Drosophila melanogaster: one gene and its partners. The protein of the gene in region 2 interacts with the protein of the main gene of each other region in a pairwise test. Each region holds a gene or a part of one and is shown on either strand. Other genes may lie near its edges. The genes, in order: CG5478, RAF2, CG13032 and Cwc25.

Region 1 (3,107 bases), on a different chromosome or scaffold from region 2:
CGATGACTCCATTACGGTCCTGGCGAGATCCTGTCCACGTCTGCGAGCCTTGGACATCGGGAAGTGCGATGTGAGCGACGCGGGGCTTCGAGCTCTGGCCGAGAGCTGTCCGAACCTGAAGAAGCTCAGCCTGCGCAGCTGCGACATGATCACGGACCGCGGGGTGCAGTGTATCGCATATTATTGTCGCGGTCTCCAGCAACTGAATATCCAGGACTGTCCGGTTTCCATCGAGGGCTACCGGGCGGTCAAGAAGTACTGCAAGCGCTGCATCATCGAACACACAAATCCGGGATTCTGTTGAGATGTTCCATAGCCGGCGGTAGACACCACAAAGCACAGAGGCAGGCCATATGAGCACAGATATAAAGGGAATTTATGGGCAAAGAAAACTCTTGAAAAACAAAATAGTTGATGAAGTGGCAGGCAAATTTTAGCCATACACGGACTTTTGGGTCCTCAAGTCCCCAAGTCTTAGTTCAATGATTAACCGATATAATCTATTGGTTTGGATATAATTTAAATTGTTCTCTGTAATCAGCCACCACTTTGCCCGAGCTAAATGAGATTATTGTAAATTGTATATATCAAACTGACGCAGGACAGAACTAGCGTAGCATAGAGCATGTTCAGTAGACTATGTCTAAGTAGACTAATTCTTGGAGTAATAAATTATTTTCCCCACCAGAAACGGTTCAGTGCTTGGATTTTGATTTTTTCGCCTTTCTCCCCAGAGCGTCGAAAATGTTTGGTTTCAATTGCGGCACATGGTCAAGGATGTACGGAGGACGTACGTCCATAATTTCCCGCGTGTAGTGGTTGCCGTGCTTGGTCTTGCGCAGCCGATCCAATTCGATGGTAGCCTTTATTGACGGCCTGGAGCCCTCCGCTGGAGTGATCTTTATCTTGGTGCAGTGCCCCCGCTCCAAATAGTTAATAGTGGCGATCAGGGAATGTATATCAGCGATGACGGACGAGGTCTGCTCGTGGATTTTTAGCAGAGCCTTCAGATTGGCATATATCCTGGCCAGCCGTTTGTCCACGGGGGATTGATTATTAGGATCACAGTTCTTTTTCTGATGCGGAACTGAGTACTTGATGAACTGGCGTTCGTTGCCCTTCGGTGGTTCAGGAGTCTCCTTGCACGGCTTGGGCACCAACCGCTCCGACACCTCCATCAGTCGCACCTGCTCATCCAAACTGCTCAAGGGCAGCTTTCGCATTATGCGGCGCAGCTGCTTGCGCTTTTTGGGCGTGAGCAGGTGGTGGTGCTTCTGAAAGCGCTCCACTCCGCGGTGCAAGTTCTCCATCATCTTTACCCAAACGTCCATGCTCCTGCTCTCCGCCTCGATTTCATTCTGGAGTCGTACGCGCTTTGAGCGAAAATGCCGTATTTGTCGTTGTAGCGACTTCGTCTGATTCTGATCATTCAAATGCTCGCGGACCAGACGGTCGTAGTCCTTTTTCCAGTTCGGTTCCTGAATCATTGGCTTAACTAGGGAATTTCGAATTTTTAAAAACGATAACTGACAAATGCTATCGATGACAAAGTAGTCGTGGTAAAAATATTTAAATAATTGGTTTTAAAAATATTTCGATTCTCGATGATATAGCTATTATATATATCGATAGCTAATTATGAAAGCCGTGTACCATCTCCAATCAGCTGTTTCACCTGCTTTTCGCCGCCTGCTCGTTAGTAAATATCTGGAGTAAAAGCTAAAATTTACCTGGTAGCTCAATACAATTATAAATCACATTCGAAATTAAGTGTTAAAAGTTACGTATGCATTTTTTTAGAAGGACGCCTTTTAAATAGTACAATTGGAACACGGAGGGTCACTACGGTGTTGCGTAATTAAAGCGACACGTTTTCTGAGACCCAAAATTAAGCTGTACACATAGAATGCCGGTGTTTTGACGTACGAATCCAAGGAATACAAGAAACCGTCATGGCCAAGTATATCGCCCAGATCATCGTGTTGGGCGCCCAGGCAGTGGGAAGAGCCTTTACCAAGGCGCTGCGCCAGGAGATCGCCGCATCTCAGGAAGCAGCACGACGGGCGGGTGGTGGCAAGCAGGGCGACAAGAGCGCCGAGTCCAACCTGCGCACAGGTGAGTCTTGGACACAGTCATGCTATCTATTTCACTATTTACACCTACTTATCAATGCAGGCATGACGCTGGAGGAAGCCAAGCAGATCCTGAATATAGATGACCCCAAAAACGTGGACGCTATCACCAAGAACTACGAGCATCTGTTTCAAGTCAACGAACGCTCCAAAGGCGGCTCCTTCTATATCCAGTCAAAGGTTTTCCGGGCGAAAGAGCGGCTGGACCATGAGATTAAGGCCCATGAGCAGCCGAGGTCGTCAAATACGGAAGCAGCGCAAGATACGGCGGAGGAGTCTCAGAGCAGATCGCGGCAGCGACGCTGAGTATCCTTGTTGTCCCAATCGAACTAATTAGCTGATAATTGATTTAAAAACTACGTGTTAAGTACAAAAAATGAAAGTCTGTTGCTGTAAATAGAGATTTACGAACATGAAGACAAGTGTAAACACTTTCTGAGAAGAGCTCGACTTTCCAGGAACACAAATGTAATGGAATTCTTGTAAACTAACACGGATTAGCTCAGGCGGTTAGGTATAAATATTTTACTCTCAGGCCAGGTAACTAGAATCGGATCGATTTTAAGATCACGCTTCTTGGGGTTTGAAAATAAAAATATTTTAAGTATCAACAAAGTTCCATGTCTTGATCTAGCTATAGCTAAAATTATGCTGATGTAAATAAACTAATGCTGCAATGGGCTTCCAAACTTTCGCAATAGGAACTTGGAAATTTTAAAATCAGCTGTTGCAGAAGCCAGAGATGCGCGAACATATCGGTAGAGCTATCGACCGACAGCAGTCAGCTGTTCGATGGGCAGCACTGGCCGAGAACAAACCGAAAATAATCATTACTGGTGCGCAGTTGTTGTTTCCATAGACGTGTCAATTGTTTGTCTAATTGCGCCAGCAGCAGCAAAACGACGCCAAAGCACACATGCGCATTCCAGCGCACAAATATCCCACCCACGAAAATCGCAATACCATCGCCCCAGC
Region 2 (6,739 bases):
TTTCGATTCCAGCACAGCACCAAGCAGAGCATTCGATTATGGTGGCAATATGCCTACAAGTGCGTCACGCCCTCCGCCTCGGCCGGTGCCGTCTGGAATCCGAATCTGAAATTCCGGCTCTACTGCAGCCGGCAGCTGCGCATCCGGAAACTGAGACGTGGTCCGTGGTCCAGGAGGCAGCCACTCCGGCTGCATATAAATGACATCAAACTGATGTGCCAGGTGCGCAGGCGCAGTAAATAAATGAGGCGATGGCAAAGCCCTAAATGATCTGAAAAAATTCCATTATACGAATTATATGTTATCAAAGTTTAGTCGAATTTCACAGAAAATTCTGTTTGAAATTTGAACAATAAACTTGGCGCCATTTATCGATAGACCAAGCCAACCAGTTCTGCAAACGGTAAAATTTTATATTTTATAAGTACCAATTTTAAAACACTTTCTATTATTGTATTAAAACGTCTCATCATTTTCTTTATTTTGTTGAACTAATACTTTTTGGTTCAATAGTCTTCCCAAAAATTAAATAATAAGTGCTTGTAAATAAATATGAACTTGTTTATTTTGCCTTTAGCATGGAATTACATCCAAAGAAACAGAAAATAAATATATTAATTCTTAAATAGATATCTTTTATGTAGCAAACAAGAAGTCAAGGATATTTAATTTTCAAACAAAAAAAGTGGGAAAACGAGGAACATTTTATCAATACGATTTTGAAACAAAATGAATTTCGCGCGTTGTTCATAAGCAAATTGGAATCAATTATTAAGGAATTATAATTATTATATTTAATCCCTACCAACTTATAATAGCTAGGCATATTACACTTTAAATTGTGCTTCATTGATTGAGTACAATTGCAAGCACTTAATTCAATAAAACGCAATTGAAAATGGTCCGCCAGTGTCCTGTGTCCTTCAGTGAGTTACACGGTTGAGTAAATATATAGTAGTGCATATGCGATACGTCTATATAGTTATGTTTTAGTAATGCTGATGTCCTAAGTGAAGTCTATTTAAATGCCACAAGTTCGGTGATGTGTGTCCCAATCGCTCAGCTATAACGAATGTATTATAAAAGATAGGTAAACATGAGTACTTTTCCTTCAATGCGTCACTGGATAAAACAATTTAAAAAAATGCATAAAATACATAATAAATCCTACAATGCTTACCTGGCATTCACGACTGCAGTACCATTGATTCTGACAGTTGGAGCACATAAAGGTGGCTCCATAGAGCTTGCACTCGTGGCATTGTCTACCTGTGTTACCGTTGATGGTGGCGGAAGATTCAGCCTGGGACTTATGGGAGCTCCTATGCTTGTGAGACTTGTGCTTATGCGACTTGCGCTTGTGAGACTTGTGCCTCTTTTGGACATTCTCATGGTCGTTGATATTAGCGGAATGTTGTTCTTGGTAGGACTGAATAGAAACATTTATTTTCGCGGAATGTCAAAAAATATTGTGATTAAGTGCATACCTGTCTATTGGCCAGTTGGCGACGGGAGGCCATCGGACTGCTGTTGAACAGCGGTTCGATCTGTGATTCATTATCCGAATTATTGTCCTCCATTGAGACGTTACTAAAATGCGAATAATTTTTCCAAGCCCTAATCTTGCGAAGCGTCTCTGAAAGATTGGCTGACAAATGTGTCGAGGAGCTTGCCATGTCCTGGTTACTATAAATTATATGACGTTAAAATAATATGTTCTAGTATATTATTTGTATTTTCTCACCTGTCTTGCGAGTGGATTAGCTTCGGTCGCTTGGCTGGCGGATCTCTGTCTGGATTGCTATCTAGCAGATGGTCATTTACCGCATTCCGAGATTCGTAATGCTGATCCCGCATTGATAGATGACTTACGGGCAAGGAATCTCTACGAAAAAGCATTTGGTCATCCTCGAAATTGGCCGGAGACACGGACGGTGCGCGTTTATTTAAGCCCAAGGAACTGAAAACGATCAATTTTAACTTGGGATTCTCAGAATTAAACATTTAAAGATTTACCCCCGCAGAAGCTGTATGATGTTCTGGTTTAACTCGGCGTAATTCAGTAATTTTTCAATTGCCGACAAACTATGTTTGGAGGCCATTGGAGAATCGATTTCCTCTTCTAGCATAGCCTTTACCTCACTGAGCTCCTTGGTGCCGCACTTGTTGATAAGGATGGGCAGTAGGTCCTTAATACGTATCAAGCGCTCCTTTCGCTCCATTCGTTCATGCAGCTCCTTCTTAATGCAGCTCAAATACAGCAGTCGGTTATATTCATCCTCTTTCTGGGCCATCAGCTTATCTAGGGCTGCAAGATCCGCAACGATGCGTTCGCGCTCTTTTTTCAATGAATCTTCATCAGGGGGTACCGAGTTAATTTTATCAATCATTGTCGAGTTCAATTCATCGAAAAGTTCTTTGACGCGATAATGGAAGTTTGCATCACTATTATTGAGATCAACGAATGACTTTTGGCGGGTTGTCGAAGAAGAAGCCGCTGGTGACCCCAAGCCCTGCGTCTGGGTGCTCACCGTTTCCGATCGACGGGGTTGCGGCTGTTGGGGCACCGCAAAGTTGGGAGCAGCCACTGGAACAGGATGCAGTTGAGATGGCGATTGATGGACCTGCTGTGATTGGGCAAGCTGATGTGGACTAGCATGCCTTTGAGGGGTCAACGGCTGCACCGAAGCTGGTCTTGATGAATCTGGCTGCTGTGGTGGAGGAGCTAGCTGCTGTGGTGGAGGAGCTAGTTGCTGTGGTGGAGGAGCTAGCTGCTGTGGTCGAGGCGCTAGCTGCTGTGGTGGAGGAGCTAGCTGCTGTGTTGGAGCTAGCTGCTGTGGCGGAGCCATATGTTGTGGTGGAGCCATATGCTGTGTGGGAGCTCGCTGTTGTGGCGGAGCCAGCTGCTGTGGCGGAGCTCGCTGCTGTGGCGGAGCTCGCTGCTGTGGTGGAGCTAGCTGCTGTGGTGGAGCTAGCTGCTGTGGTGGAGCTAGCTGCTGTGGTGGAGCTAGCTGCTGTGGCGGAGCTAGCTGCTGTGGCGGAGCTCGCTGCTGTGGTGGAGCTAGCTGGTGTGGTGGAGCTAGCTGGTGTGGTGGAGCTAGCTGCTGTGGCGGAGCTCGCTGCTGTGGTGGAGCTAGCTGGTGTGGTGGAGCTAGCTGGTGTGGTGGAGCCAGCTGCTGTGATGGAGCTAGCTGCTGTGGAGATGGTCTATGTTGAGCCAGGTGCCGTGGTGGAGCGAATGGAGCTGTAGCCAGTTGCTGTGGAGGAGCTCGCTGCTGTGGTGGAGGAAGCTGCTGCGGTGGAACTGATCTTGGGAAGTGCATCTGTTGCACGGGGGCTTGTTGTAGTGGAGCAACCTGAGATGGAGCTCTCTGCGCGAGGGCAGCCACTTGTGGTGCAGCAGCATAGGATGCAGCGACTTGGGATAAAGCTGTCTGTTGAATCGAGAAAGTCGCATTAGCTTTCATGTTATTTGACAGCTTTTCGTTGGGATAGGATATCTGCATTTGGGTGGCCGTTGGCGGTGGAGTATTTAAACTGTAAGTGTCAGCTTGCTTGGCGGCAGTAGGCGGAGCCAGGGTATACGGTGTGCTCAGCTTAAAAGCCTGCTGACGCTGAAGAGGATTAGTCGATGGAGTGGTGGGCATTCTTAGATTTAATGGTGGAGCTGCCTCCATTGGCTTCTGTTGCTGCACCGTTGAAAACCCAATTATATTATCATCCTCGACTTCATTGTTGCGCTTCTCTTCGCTAGCGGGCGGTGTTACCGAACGGCGTCTTTTAAGAGTGGCATCAACCACAAGCGACTCTGCCTCATTTGGCGCATCTCGCGACCGGTCCTTTAGAGCCTGTTCCAATTCCCGACACGCTGAGAGTTTACCGTAGTCGAAGACCGGTTCCTGGGGATCCTTCTTTACCAGGAACTCGTCGAGGATAGAGGCACCGTTTTCGTTGTTTCCAAGTGGGTTTGCTTTCTTCCTTTCTGGCAGCTCGTAGTTTAGTTGGGGTGGAGCCGGAAGCGTAGGCTTATTTTCCTTGATGGGCGTAACCCTTGCCGGCTCTTGCTCTGGTTTCTCAGGCGAATCCTCGTTCTCCGTGTCGTCAAGGCAAATGAGTTCCGGCGAACCACTGCCGCTGCGGCTGCGAGAATAGCTACGACTACGACTGCGACTGCAACTTCGGCTAAGACTGCGGCTGTGGCTGCGACTACGACTGATGCTCCTGCTGTCGTAGGTTCTGCGCTGCCTGTCATGGAAGCGAACCAGGTGCTTCAATTTACGCTTGGGCAGCAAGTCCTTCAGGCCGTCAAAATAGCTGTTGTAGTCCATTTTATTGGGTCGCAGCCTGAAGTGTGATCGGATAAGATAGGATTACAGTTTCAGTAGGTTCTTTGGGAAGTAAGCCTTACCAACGAATACTGCGACGCTTGAAGTAAAGATTGGGCAGCCTGCCACGCTGTAACTGCAATTGCCGGATCCGCCGAATTGTTTCTGAGCGCGTGGAAGGTGGCACCGCATCGTCATCTGGCTTTTCATTTTTCTCAGTGGCAGCCGCCGATTCTGGAGCTCCATTTCCGGGTTTCTCGGACTCGGATCCCTTGGATTTTGTCTTTTGGGGTCGTTGCTTGCTCACCGCCGCGTCCATTAGAGCGTCGTATTCCTCCTCCTCGTGGCTATACTCGTCGCTACTTAGCTGCGAATTGGAGGAGTCGTAGATCTCGTTGGACATTAGGCCTGCAACTGGACGACGGTCAGGTATGTACATCTTTTGGCATTAACCCCCTCAAAAACTCACGCGCTCACGTCTGCAAATTTTTGGCCAACAAAAAATCGTCTGCCGGTTGAATATTCTAATCCGCCGACGGGCTCACCTTTTCAGTTGCTGAAAACCACTTAAAACAATGGCCCAAGTCCCCAAATAGGCTAATTCGGGTTTATACCAGTTTTAAAGCGTTTACTTTCAGCAAAAATCCAATTTCCAAATGCGAAAAAAAATTCGCCGTTCAATTCTGCGAATAATTTTGACAGGCATTTAGTATGGACGCAAACCAATAGGGTAACCACTTTTGGGAAAGTCTTTAAATAATACTGAATAAAATATGTTCTTCCAACTAGTTCTTAGTTAGGTAAACCAAGCAAACAAATTTTTAATCTTATTAAATTAAAGTAATCTAGTAATCTTATTAAATATTACTAGTTTCGGGGTATTCGGTCATTTCATATCTAAAAACCAAATAACTATATTAGAATAAGTTACTCACTAGAGTTTCATTTTTTGATTTATGGAAAAGTTAGCGTAGATCAAAAATCAATCATTAATAAGCTATAAGTTGTAGTGCAGATCGTTAGCCAAATTATTCAGATTTCCTTTACAACATTGCAACCTGACAGCCCTGGTGGCAAATATTAAATATTGAAAAATACTAAAGGCAAAAGTGGCGATTTTCCGTTTGTTCACCGGTGTCATCGTCATTGCACTCGAACGGTCATACCGTTTGGCTTACAAAAGAAAACAAATCAATTCGCACAAAAACATTGCCAAAAAGGTAAATGGCGGGCACGACGCCGCCGAGTGATAACCATATAGTAGTGACCAGTGTTTAGCAACCGATTCCCGCCCAGTGACACTCGTAAACAAAGGGCACGACCGACAGTGTCTGTATATATATGTGCATATGCGTAACAGGGAATAACCGATAAGAACGGCGCAGCTGCAGATAGACATACCTTTAAATAGGACTTTGTTTATTGATCGTTTGTGGGTGGCTATTGCCTTGCAGATCGCGAACTGATAACCATAAATGTTAACCACGTCACGCCACCCCACGCCTCTCCCAAACACACACACTCGCACACGTGCGCCAGCTGAGCACATGCATACGTATATGCATGCTCACACGCACACAATCGCATGGTCGTGCACAAGAACTCTTTTGTTGTATGTAAAGTGGACGATCGAAAAAGTAAACTAATTCAATACAATGGGTTCAGCAATCAACGTCGGGGTCACCAATTGAGTGCATCAAAAATACAATCAATTCGGCCCGGCGAATTTTCGGTTGATTCAGCTAATGGCGGTGTGCATAAGAAATGGCATGAAAAGTACTCCTTTTTTCATTGGATTTAAATCCCATTATCATAGGAAGAAATAAGAAATTTAAAAAAAGCAGTGCTTGTCAACTGAATGCATTCATTTCTATTACAAAAACGTAGTGCGTTCCATTGTGCATGTAAATATATGCAGTCCCAGTTTTATATTACGTGTCAAAACAAAAGATTGACCTTTATCATTGGTCGTTTTACAACCATTGTTTATAACTTTGTAGAAATACAAATAAAAACTTCTTTGATAAACTTTATCCGCTGACATGTTTTAAATCATAATTTAAGTAAATCATGATCATTTAAATAATAATCTCAATATATAATACCTATTACTTTAGTTTATTTAAAATCCGAAAATCGTTTCGAAACTTATTTAAATTTGCTTAAATTGAAATATCTAAAATATCCGAAGCCAAGTATTATTTAATAAGAAATATGAATAGCTAAACGCCTTAATGAAATGATTTAATTAGTTTAAAGTTTTAAAGTTGTCGTTTTTACTCATAATTAAAACGGTCGTAAAACTTTAGTACTTTTTTAAAACATCTCCATGTACAAAATGTAAAAAATGACACCTAACTGTCATCAATTTTTTGCTAAACTGTTTGCACACTTTGGTCCCCATAAACCCACTC
Region 3 (4,640 bases), 290 kb from region 2:
TAACTTATACATTTTCATACCATACGCGAGCAATGGAGAACGAATTTCTAACGCAAATAATGAAGCAATTTACAAACGGCAACTAAAACTAATTTAATATGTGATTGCAGGATCGTTTTTCTATGGCAAGTCAAGCTATATATAATGTATTATTAACTTAACTTACAAGACACTCACACACACACACACACACACACATGCATAGCTATAGACAGCAATTAATAACAATTATATAGGCATAATGCAATTGGAAATGCTTCGAGTGGAAAGAAATCACCTAACAAATACTTGAATTAATCTAATCTTATCCTGAAATAGAAGCAGCGCCAAAGGCTTCGTTTTGTGAACGTGTTACAAATCAAATAAAAATTTATGAAAATTTAAAACTCATTGTTTTCGGTACTTCAGAATCAATGATGTGCATTGCAATGCCATGCAAGTTTAATAACATTCCAGTTACATATAAATATGTATATGGCATGACTTCTCGTCCAGTTTTTTTAGCATTGCAAAGAACATAAAAACTAATCAAAATAAAAATCGTGGTTTTGTTCATCTTCATTATTGAATGGAAGTCTCGCTCGTGCTTTTATCTGCATTTTTGCTACGATCGCTCAATCCCTTTTCGCGAGCTCCAAGTACAGTTTCAAGGATAATGGTCTTCGTACTGTTGATGGTGTCCTCGAAAAATTTGGCATCTGCGTTCTTCTCCTCGGTGATATACTCCAGCTTCTCTGTCAGCATTGTGATTTTTTCCTTGGCCAGTTCAAGACTGAAAATATAAGTAGTTATAGTTGATTAAGCGATGGGATTGCCGTGTCCGAACTTACTTATTCTTTAGATCCTCTATTCTGGGCTCAGGCTGTCCTGCCGAATTCAGCGTATTTGTGGACTGGTACTGGGACTGATTTTCGAAGCAGAAGGAACCAATCGATCCGTTAAGAGAAGTGCGACTCAGCGAACTGGCGTAGTCGGCCATTCGCTGGGTGCGTTTCTTCTTATCGGACTGCACATCGAGTTCCTTCTCCAGGTCCCTGATCTTGACCTCCAGTCGGCTGATACGGGCCTTTAACTTGCCAATCTGCTCCTGAGCTGCTTCGTTCTTGGCTCTCTCCGTCTCCAGACGATCTCCTAGAGTTTTGGTGAGCAACATAAGCTGATTTTTCTCCACCTCTAGAGCATCCAGGATGCCCACAAATTCCTCCTGCGGAATATAATTAAGCAAATTAATAGCTTATGTTTTAGTGTACAGAGTTTTACCTTTCGAAACTCGCGGCAGGAGAAGAGGAATCCGCCGGATAGGGCGCGCAGGTCCATTTCCAGCTTCTTGATCATATCCTGCAGACTGGCCATGGCCACATCCTTCTGCTTGACCACCGTCTGCAGCTCCAGATGCATACCGCTCAGCTCTTCCATTTGCCGGCGCGAAAGATCTCGCTCCTCGGTCACCCGGACCAGCTCGCCGCGCATGTCGTCCAAACGGTTCTCGTACTGAATCCTCTGCTGGTTCAGTTTGTCATTCATGGTATTGATATTGGTGCCATTGAAGTCGGTCTGCTCCTCCAGCTCATTGTATAGAATCTTGTACTTGTTCATCTCCTCGTTCAGATTCTTGTTCCTCACCTTTAGGGCGAGTGTCTTGCTGCGTTGATCCTCCAGTTGGTTTTGCAGGCTAAGAATCTCCTTTTCCAGAGCCTCCACCTTGGCTCGATGAAGAATCTCACTTTTACGCACACCCGGTGTAAAGCGATCGAAGCTGGCCGTTGTGGCTCCGCCGCCATCGCCTCCACCTAATCTCTCAGAGCTGGCATGATGTGATCGACAGCTGCCGGTTACCAACTCCAGATCCGAACCCAACGGCACTGGGGCAGCATATTCGGCTCGATCTACGGCTCGGTCCTCGTAGAAATCCAAGCGAGCCTTGAGCTCGTGCACTTTCTGGTTGAGCGCGATGATCTGCTGAGCACGACCGCGCCAATTGGCCTGATTAAGATTGTTGGCCAGGATGTTGATGTTGCAGCTCTCACCGATCTCGTGCTGCAGGCACTTTTGGGCCAGTTTCAGTTGGCTTTGTAGCTCGGTGTTCCTGTTTCGCGTTTCGAAGAGCTTCTGCTGCATACTGTTGATCTTGGCTTGGAGCTCATCGGGGGAGCAGCCCTTTTTTGGCAGATCCTGATTATGCTGCAGCTTCTCCTCGTGCGCACGCAGCTCCTTCTCCAGCTTCTCGATCTGAGCATCCTTTTTACCCAGCCGACTCTTTGCCTGCTCCAATTCGGAACGCATCTGGCGGTTCTTCTTGCTCAGTTCCAGGATTTTGGTGCTGGCAATGGAGGAGTTGCAGCGCAGCTCATCAATGGGCACGGAGTTGAGCACCTCGTTGAGCGAATCAACCGATTTCTTCAGGTCGGATATCTCCTGATTCTTCTCATGAATGGCCTGGGCCAGTGACTGCTTCTCCTGCTCGCATTCGGATAGCTTTTTGCGCAGCTTTTTGGACTCCGGCTTTGTTGGCTTTGGTTTTACCACAGCGGTGGTCAGCACCACATGGGCAGCGGCCATGGCATCATGGTCATGCCGACGTCGAGAGGAACGGCCCACTTTGCACCCCAACAGCTCCTGATCCCGATGGGCTACATACTCTTCCGGCAAAGTCTCCATCGCAATGCCCTCTAGTTGTTCACATAAAAATATACACAATTGAATCTAACAATTTCGTTGGCTGGGCGAAAATAATTTGTACGTGTGCCTGTTCTTGTTACTAAAATATTCACAAATTTTGGTTGTCATCAGTTGTTTCTAGGTTATTCAAATTTAAACCTCATTTGAAACAGACAAATCAAAGGCAAGGCAATTTTTAAATTTGGAACTCTTGTCATAATCAGGATTTCTTCAATAATAGGTAAGTTAAAAATAAACAGAGTTTCTGCAATAATAAAATTGACATTGACAATTCTTTTCTTGATCTTTCCAAACTGTTGTTTTATTTAAGACAGGATAATTTACATTTAAACCGTTATTCTTTTTTTACATTTACATTATTTTATTTTAAATACCCCAGCAAAGTACGGCCAACGTCAAGCAAGCCAGCCCCCCATGTGTTTCAAATTATAATTTAAAATATAATAATAAAACAACGATAACGGCTTAGCTAAAATTCAAAAATTTTAACAGTTTTTCTAGATAGTTTTAACTGTATCTAGCTATTTATTTTGTGACTCGAGTTGGCAGTACTGTTTAGTTGGTATAATTTAGCGGTCGCAATATGGTCATACTAAAGTGACGTGTAAGACACGAAAACAAGTGAAGATGGACGGATTTATGATGGTAAATTGCAAAATACACAAGTAACTGGCTTAAAATCAAACCCAACATGTGCTGCAGGATATCATCAAGGGCATGTGCATCATGGACAACGATGGCAACCGCATCCTGGCCAAGTACTACGACAAGAACATCCTGTCCACGTTGAAGGAGCAGAAGGCCTTCGAAAAGAATCTGTTCAATAAGACGCACCGCTCCAACACGGAGATCATTATGCTGGACGGACTCACCTGCGTGTACAAGAGCAACGTGGACCTCTTCTTCTACGTGATGGGCAACGCCTACGAGAACGAGCTCATCCTGCTGTCCGTGCTCAACTGCCTCTACGATTCCATTAGCCTGATCCTCAAGAAGAACGTTGAGAAGCGCCTGGTGCTGGAAAACCTGGAGATCATCATGCTGGCATTTGACGAGATCTGCGACGGAGGGTGTGTATTAGCGTATACAGTGATGGATGGAAAGAACAAGGGACCAAGTTAAAGCAGCTTTCATTAGCAGCAGTTCGTTTAGAAAACATCAAATTATTACTACACAAGTTCCCATAAATAACATTGTTATTTACTAGTCTATGAGTTAGGCCAGCTCAAGTGAAGCCTCTAAGTAGTTAACCGCATTTAAAGCTTCCTTTTTTTTAACAAAACCTAGTCAAGTCCAATGAAAAGTTATATGATAACTGCGATGTTAGGGTATAGGTACAAAAGTTTAATTATATAAATCAAACTAAATATTAAAATATATTAAACTTAAAGATTAAACTAATACATACGAGCACTGGCATCCTAGGCATGCAGCTCGTATAAGTTTTTAAGTTTATAGGCTGAGCTTTAGAAATCACCTGAGGTACAAAAAGATATACTTTGCCATTCATCACTGTATATTATGCATTACATATTATTAAATACAAATATTCTATTTAAACCTTTACCCGTTTTCCAAATAGCATTATTCTGGATGCGGATCCCTCGTCGGTGGTGAAACGCGTTGATCTGCGCAACGATGACATTCCCATTGCCGAACAGACCGTTGCCCAGGTAACTAACACCCTTAATGGTCTATTTTGGTAGTCTAACTACTTGGTAGCTCTTCTAAGTGTTTATAACTCAATGGTAGCCGTTTGTACTTTAATTTTGTCTGGTTTCGTTTCGCAATTTGATACCCTGCAGTCAAATATATTCTCATTTAGTTTTACCCGCCCTATGAACAAATAATTAGGCTCTTTGTTTTTCAAGACTATATGTAGTTAGTAACTGAGTTAATATAAGTTTACAAGCTTTACACATTTGCCTAGATTTATTTGTTATTCGCATTTTTGTTTAATT
Region 4 (4,256 bases), on a different chromosome or scaffold from region 2:
TGCAGTTGCATCTGCCAGTGGACTTTGTCTGCGGCGACAAGTTCGCCGAGAACGCTGCCGTCAGCGAGGCCACCGTGGAGGCCGGAATTCCCGATGGACACATGGGTCTGGATGTGGGTCCCAAGACCCGTGAGCTCTTCGCGGCACCCATCGCACGCGCCAAGCTCATCGTGTGGAACGGGTAGGTGTCACACTGAAGCTACTTCTCCAAATGTCCTATAATGGTTTTCCCATTTTAGACCCCCCGGTGTCTTTGAGTTCCCCAACTTCGCCAACGGCACCAAGTCCATCATGGACGGCGTGGTGGCCGCCACCAAGAACGGCACCGTCTCCATCATCGGCGGCGGCGACACTGCCTCTTGCTGCGCCAAGTGGAACACGGAGGCACTCGTCTCGCACGTCTCCACCGGAGGCGGCGCTTCGCTGGAGCTCCTGGAGGGCAAGACACTGCCAGGCGTGGCTGCATTGACCAGCGCCTAAGCGTACATATATACGGTATATTAATGTTAATCGCATCGTTTACCTTGTAAGCACAAACCACGACGTTAAAAAGTGTTGAATCTATTTGTTGCGGAACCATATAATGCATACGAAATAAAGGAATCCTAGTTTATTTGCGGGCAAAGTTGCTGTCCATTGAGGAGGCGGTGCGCTGTATGTTGTTGAGATTGGCCCGGATGCGATCGCCAATTGAGTTATGGTTGGCAATGGCCTTCTTCACCTCCTTGTTAATGAACTCCTTGTCGAAGTCTCGTTCACGATTTTGGGCCTCCTCGCGCGCGTATGCTTCTCGGTGCTTGCGAACCACCTGGCTGCGATCCGCTTCTCTCCAAGTGGCGTTGTCCATCATTTCGCGCAGGCGAGCTTCTCGGTCGGCTTCGCTTAACTTTGGCTTGCCGGTGGGACGGCTGGGAGGCGGTCTTTCGGCAATCCTTCGCTTGTCATCTCCTTTGGAACTTCGGCTCCTGCTGCGTTTTGATCTGGAACGCTCTTCAGGTGTCCTACTCCTGCGTTTCTCGCGCTGCTTTGAAGTGTCCTTGCTTTGACGTCTGGCTTTTCTGTCCTCTGGGCTCCTGGTTCTTCTCTGTCTTCTCGCTAAGGGACTTCTGCTCCTGCTCCTGCGCCTTTCCCTTCTCTCTTCTGGACTCCTTTGCCTTTGCCTTTGTTCCGGACTTCTACTCTGTCGCTTTTTTCTATCCCGGGGGCTTCTACTCCTGCGTCTTTCTCGCTGATTTCTGTCCTCTGAGCTGTGGCTCCTTTTGTGCTTTCTCCTTGGCTCTTCCTCTTCGTCACTACTTTCGTCACTGCTATCGCTGCTTTTCTTCTTCTTGGATTTCTTGCTCTTTTTCTTCTTGGTGGCCATGTCTAATTGATTTGAAATGGTGCGGTACTTGGCGTCCAGCAGCTTGTCCAGTTTAAGGTCACCTTGGTCTCCCTTGAGTTTGCTCACTTGGCGGGCTAATTTTCTGTCCAAGTCATCGTCGCTATCATTGCTCTCGCTGTCACTACTTTCCTCATTGCTGGATCGTCGGTTCTTCTTCTTCTTTTTGGATTTCTTAGACTTTTTGTTCTTCTTGTTCTTCTTCTTTCCCTCTGCGGCCTTTTGTTCCTGTTCAGTCTTGAGAATGCGATGGATTTCCTTCAGCTTGACGGGGTTCTCAAGCAGCTTTCGACGGGATTCCATTTCGCGCTGCTTGATGAGCATCAGGGGATCCTCGAGGGTCTTGCGCTGTATGTCCACCTGTTCGTTGGACTGCACATTGCGGTAGGTCCGGATGGAGAAGGGCACACAGTCGTGCTCCACATGGTTGATCGTTTGCTTGAGACCCACTGTGTTCTGCTCCTGGCGGCTTTCCTCCGCTTGCAGCGTCTCAAAGGACTTGTCGATCTTACGGCCCAGGAGGTACTCCTCGCGGTTGATCAGCTCTGTGCTGTCTGGAGCAAGATAAATATGTATGGATAATGAGTTTTATAAGAGTTTCACATGTATGACTCACTTTTGTACATCCACTCCAGCTTGGCCTCGCCGGCGGCTCCGCCATTATTGCTCAGCACTCCGGAACTTTCGCCCAATCGCCTTAGTTCCTCTCTGTCCCGCTCCTCGTTGATCTCCTTGCGCAGATCCTGCAGCTTGCGCTCCTCCATCTTCGCTTGCTCCTCCGCCTTCCAAACGCGCTCCTGGTTTTTCATCGTGTGCGGATGCCATGATTTCTTCAGATTCTGCGGGAAAAATCAATGGTAATTGACGGATAATCAGTTGGGAGACATTACTTACTAGATCTCCGCCACCCATCTTGGGTTTGATTTGCGTTTTAACAGCAAAACAAACAAATTACAAACAATTCCAGATTTTCCCTCCTTTTCTGTTGTTTTCAACAAAATCATATGTTCGCCCGGGCTGCCAGATCGTGGTGAAGTAATTTAACTTGGTGTTGCCATAGGGTTACATTTTTCTTTTACTTTTTCGAAAATTATTGAAAATAGTTAATTTAGTTACTTATTTTCATAATTACTTCCTCATCGTGCATTGTATTTTCAGTCAAAAACAGGTAATAAATTTATTTAATATGCTTCCAATTCGGCAGAGTTTATACCAAAGAGCTCAAACTCGATTTACAAAATTAAGATTTCCAAGATTTTTTAGCAAAGACGATTGCAATGGAAAGCAAGTAAAGAAGTTGAGCTTAAAAAATGTAGATGTGGCTGGGAAAAGGGTTTTTATGAGGTGAGTATCCTTGCCAGATATGTTTTAGTGTGTGATTTATAAATTTATTTTTAGAGTGGACTTTAATGTACCCATGAAAGATGGCAAAATAACCAACAACCAACGAATTGTTTCCGCACTTCCCAGTATTAAATATGCCTTGGACAAGAAATGTAAGTCCTTGGTGAGTTGATATATCTTCCTTCAATTCCTAAAAAGTATAGAACGAATAACTTAATTTTTTGCCTAGGTTTTGGCATCCCACTTGGGGCGTCCGGATGGCAAAAAGAACAAAAAGTTTAGCCTGGAACCCGTGGCCAAGGAGCTGGAGAGTGTGCTGGGCCAGCCGGTTCAATTCCTGGACGACTGCGTGGGTGATAGCACCCTGAGAGCTTTGAAGGATCCCTCCGACGGCACTGTGTTCCTGTTGGAGAATCTTCGTTTCTATGCCGAGGAGACGGGCAGCAGCAAGGACGATAACAAGAAGAAGGTCAAAGCAGATCCCGCGAAGGTGAAGGAATTCCGAGCCAAGTTGGCGCAGCTGGGCGAGATCTATGTGAACGATGCCTTTGGAACAGCACATCGTCCGCATAGTTCCATGATGGGCGATGGCTACAAGGTGCGAGCGGCTGGTTTCCTGCTGGACAAGGAACTGGAGTACTTTGCCAAGGTTCTCCACGATCCGGCCAAGCCCTTTTTGGCCATTCTGGGTGGCGCCAAGATAGCCGATAAAATTCCACTGATAACGAACCTCCTGAACAATGTAACGGCCATGATCATATCCGGTGGCATGGCCTTCACCTTTCTCAAAGTGCTCAATGGCATGGAGATTGGAAAGTCCCTCTTCGACGAGAAGGGATCCGAGTTGGTCAACGACATAGTCTGCAAGGCGAAGGAGAAGGACGTGAATATACTATTTCCGATTGACTTTGTCATAGCCAATAAGATCGACAAGGAGCCGGATAAAGTGGAACATGTGGATGCCACACAGGGCATACCGGAGGACATGATGGGTCTGGACCACGGCCAGGCATCCAGTCAGATGTTTGCTGGCGCTATTTGTGCATCCAAAACCATCGTCTGGAACGGACCGCCAGGCTTGTTCGAAAACGAGCTATTCTCCAAAGGCACCGAGTCCATGCTGGAGGCAGTAATCGGGGCCACTAACCGAGGAGCCACCACAATCGTTGGTGGTGGGGATACGGCCACCGCTTGCTTGAAGTTCGGAGGCGCCGACAAGGTCTCGCATGTGTCCACCGGTGGAGGAGCTTCCCTGGAGTTGCTGGAGGGTAAGGTTCTGCCTGGAGTGGCTGCTCTTTCGGATGCCTAAACGCACTGCTTTACAATGGTTATTCCACTTATATGTACATGTATCTTAAATTCAATTTGGACAATTTAAACAATCAGTCTCTCAAAATACAAAGTTATTTTTATTGTGGAATAACATTAGTCGGTTAAAACGTGATAAAAGGGCGGGCCTCGATCTCGTGCAGCACTACTTTCCAACTATCTTTTTACCTCCATAGATTTGGTCTAAACTTAAAATTTATCA

The links.
Region 1: the proteins of RAF2 (region 2) and CG5478 interact in a two-hybrid assay, tested with the Drosophila melanogaster proteins (one large-scale study listed by BioGRID).
Region 3: the proteins of RAF2 (region 2) and CG13032 interact in a two-hybrid assay, tested with the Drosophila melanogaster proteins (one large-scale study listed by BioGRID).
Region 4: the proteins of RAF2 (region 2) and Cwc25 interact in a two-hybrid assay, tested with the Drosophila melanogaster proteins (one large-scale study listed by BioGRID).

Annotation. Positions count from the first base shown.
Region 1 is NT_033777.3:15,932,200-15,935,306, forward strand, and holds CG5478 (uncharacterized protein), read right to left. Parts: upstream 1,536-3,107; 5' UTR 1,488-1,535; coding exon 696-1,487; 3' UTR 501-695; downstream 1-500. Other genes in the region: Fbxl7 (F-box and leucine-rich repeat protein 7), read left to right, coding at 1-304; blp (black pearl), read left to right, coding at 1,953-2,115, 2,176-2,438.
Region 2 is NT_037436.4:16,384,626-16,391,364, reverse strand, and holds RAF2 (RING-associated factor 2), read right to left. Parts: upstream 5,039-6,739; 5' UTR 4,795-5,038; intron 4,740-4,794; 5' UTR 4,729-4,739; coding exon 4,409-4,728; intron 4,345-4,408; coding exon 2,017-4,344; intron 1,961-2,016; coding exon 1,745-1,960; intron 1,687-1,744; coding exon 1,488-1,686; intron 1,430-1,487; coding exon 1,181-1,429; intron 1,064-1,180; coding exon 1,022-1,063; 3' UTR 549-1,021; downstream 1-548. Other genes in the region: CG44836 (uncharacterized protein), read left to right, coding at 13-243; Agpat3 (1-Acylglycerol-3-phosphate O-acyltransferase 3), read left to right, coding at 5,911-5,937.
Region 3 is NT_037436.4:16,672,166-16,676,805, reverse strand, and holds CG13032 (uncharacterized protein), read right to left. Parts: upstream 2,843-4,640; 5' UTR 2,659-2,842; coding exon 1,261-2,658; intron 1,205-1,260; coding exon 831-1,204; intron 773-830; coding exon 562-772; 3' UTR 542-561; downstream 1-541. Other genes in the region: zetaCOP (coat protein (coatomer) zeta), read left to right, coding at 3,307-3,324, 3,382-3,749, 4,262-4,352.
Region 4 is NT_033779.5:2,743,236-2,747,491, reverse strand, and holds Cwc25 (Cwc25), read right to left. Parts: upstream 2,395-4,256; 5' UTR 2,294-2,394; coding exon 2,276-2,293; intron 2,221-2,275; coding exon 1,998-2,220; intron 1,936-1,997; coding exon 611-1,935; 3' UTR 548-610; downstream 1-547. Other genes in the region: Pgk (phosphoglycerate kinase), read left to right, coding at 1-181, 240-480; CG9961 (uncharacterized protein), read left to right, coding at 2,568-2,725, 2,780-2,888, 2,955-4,034.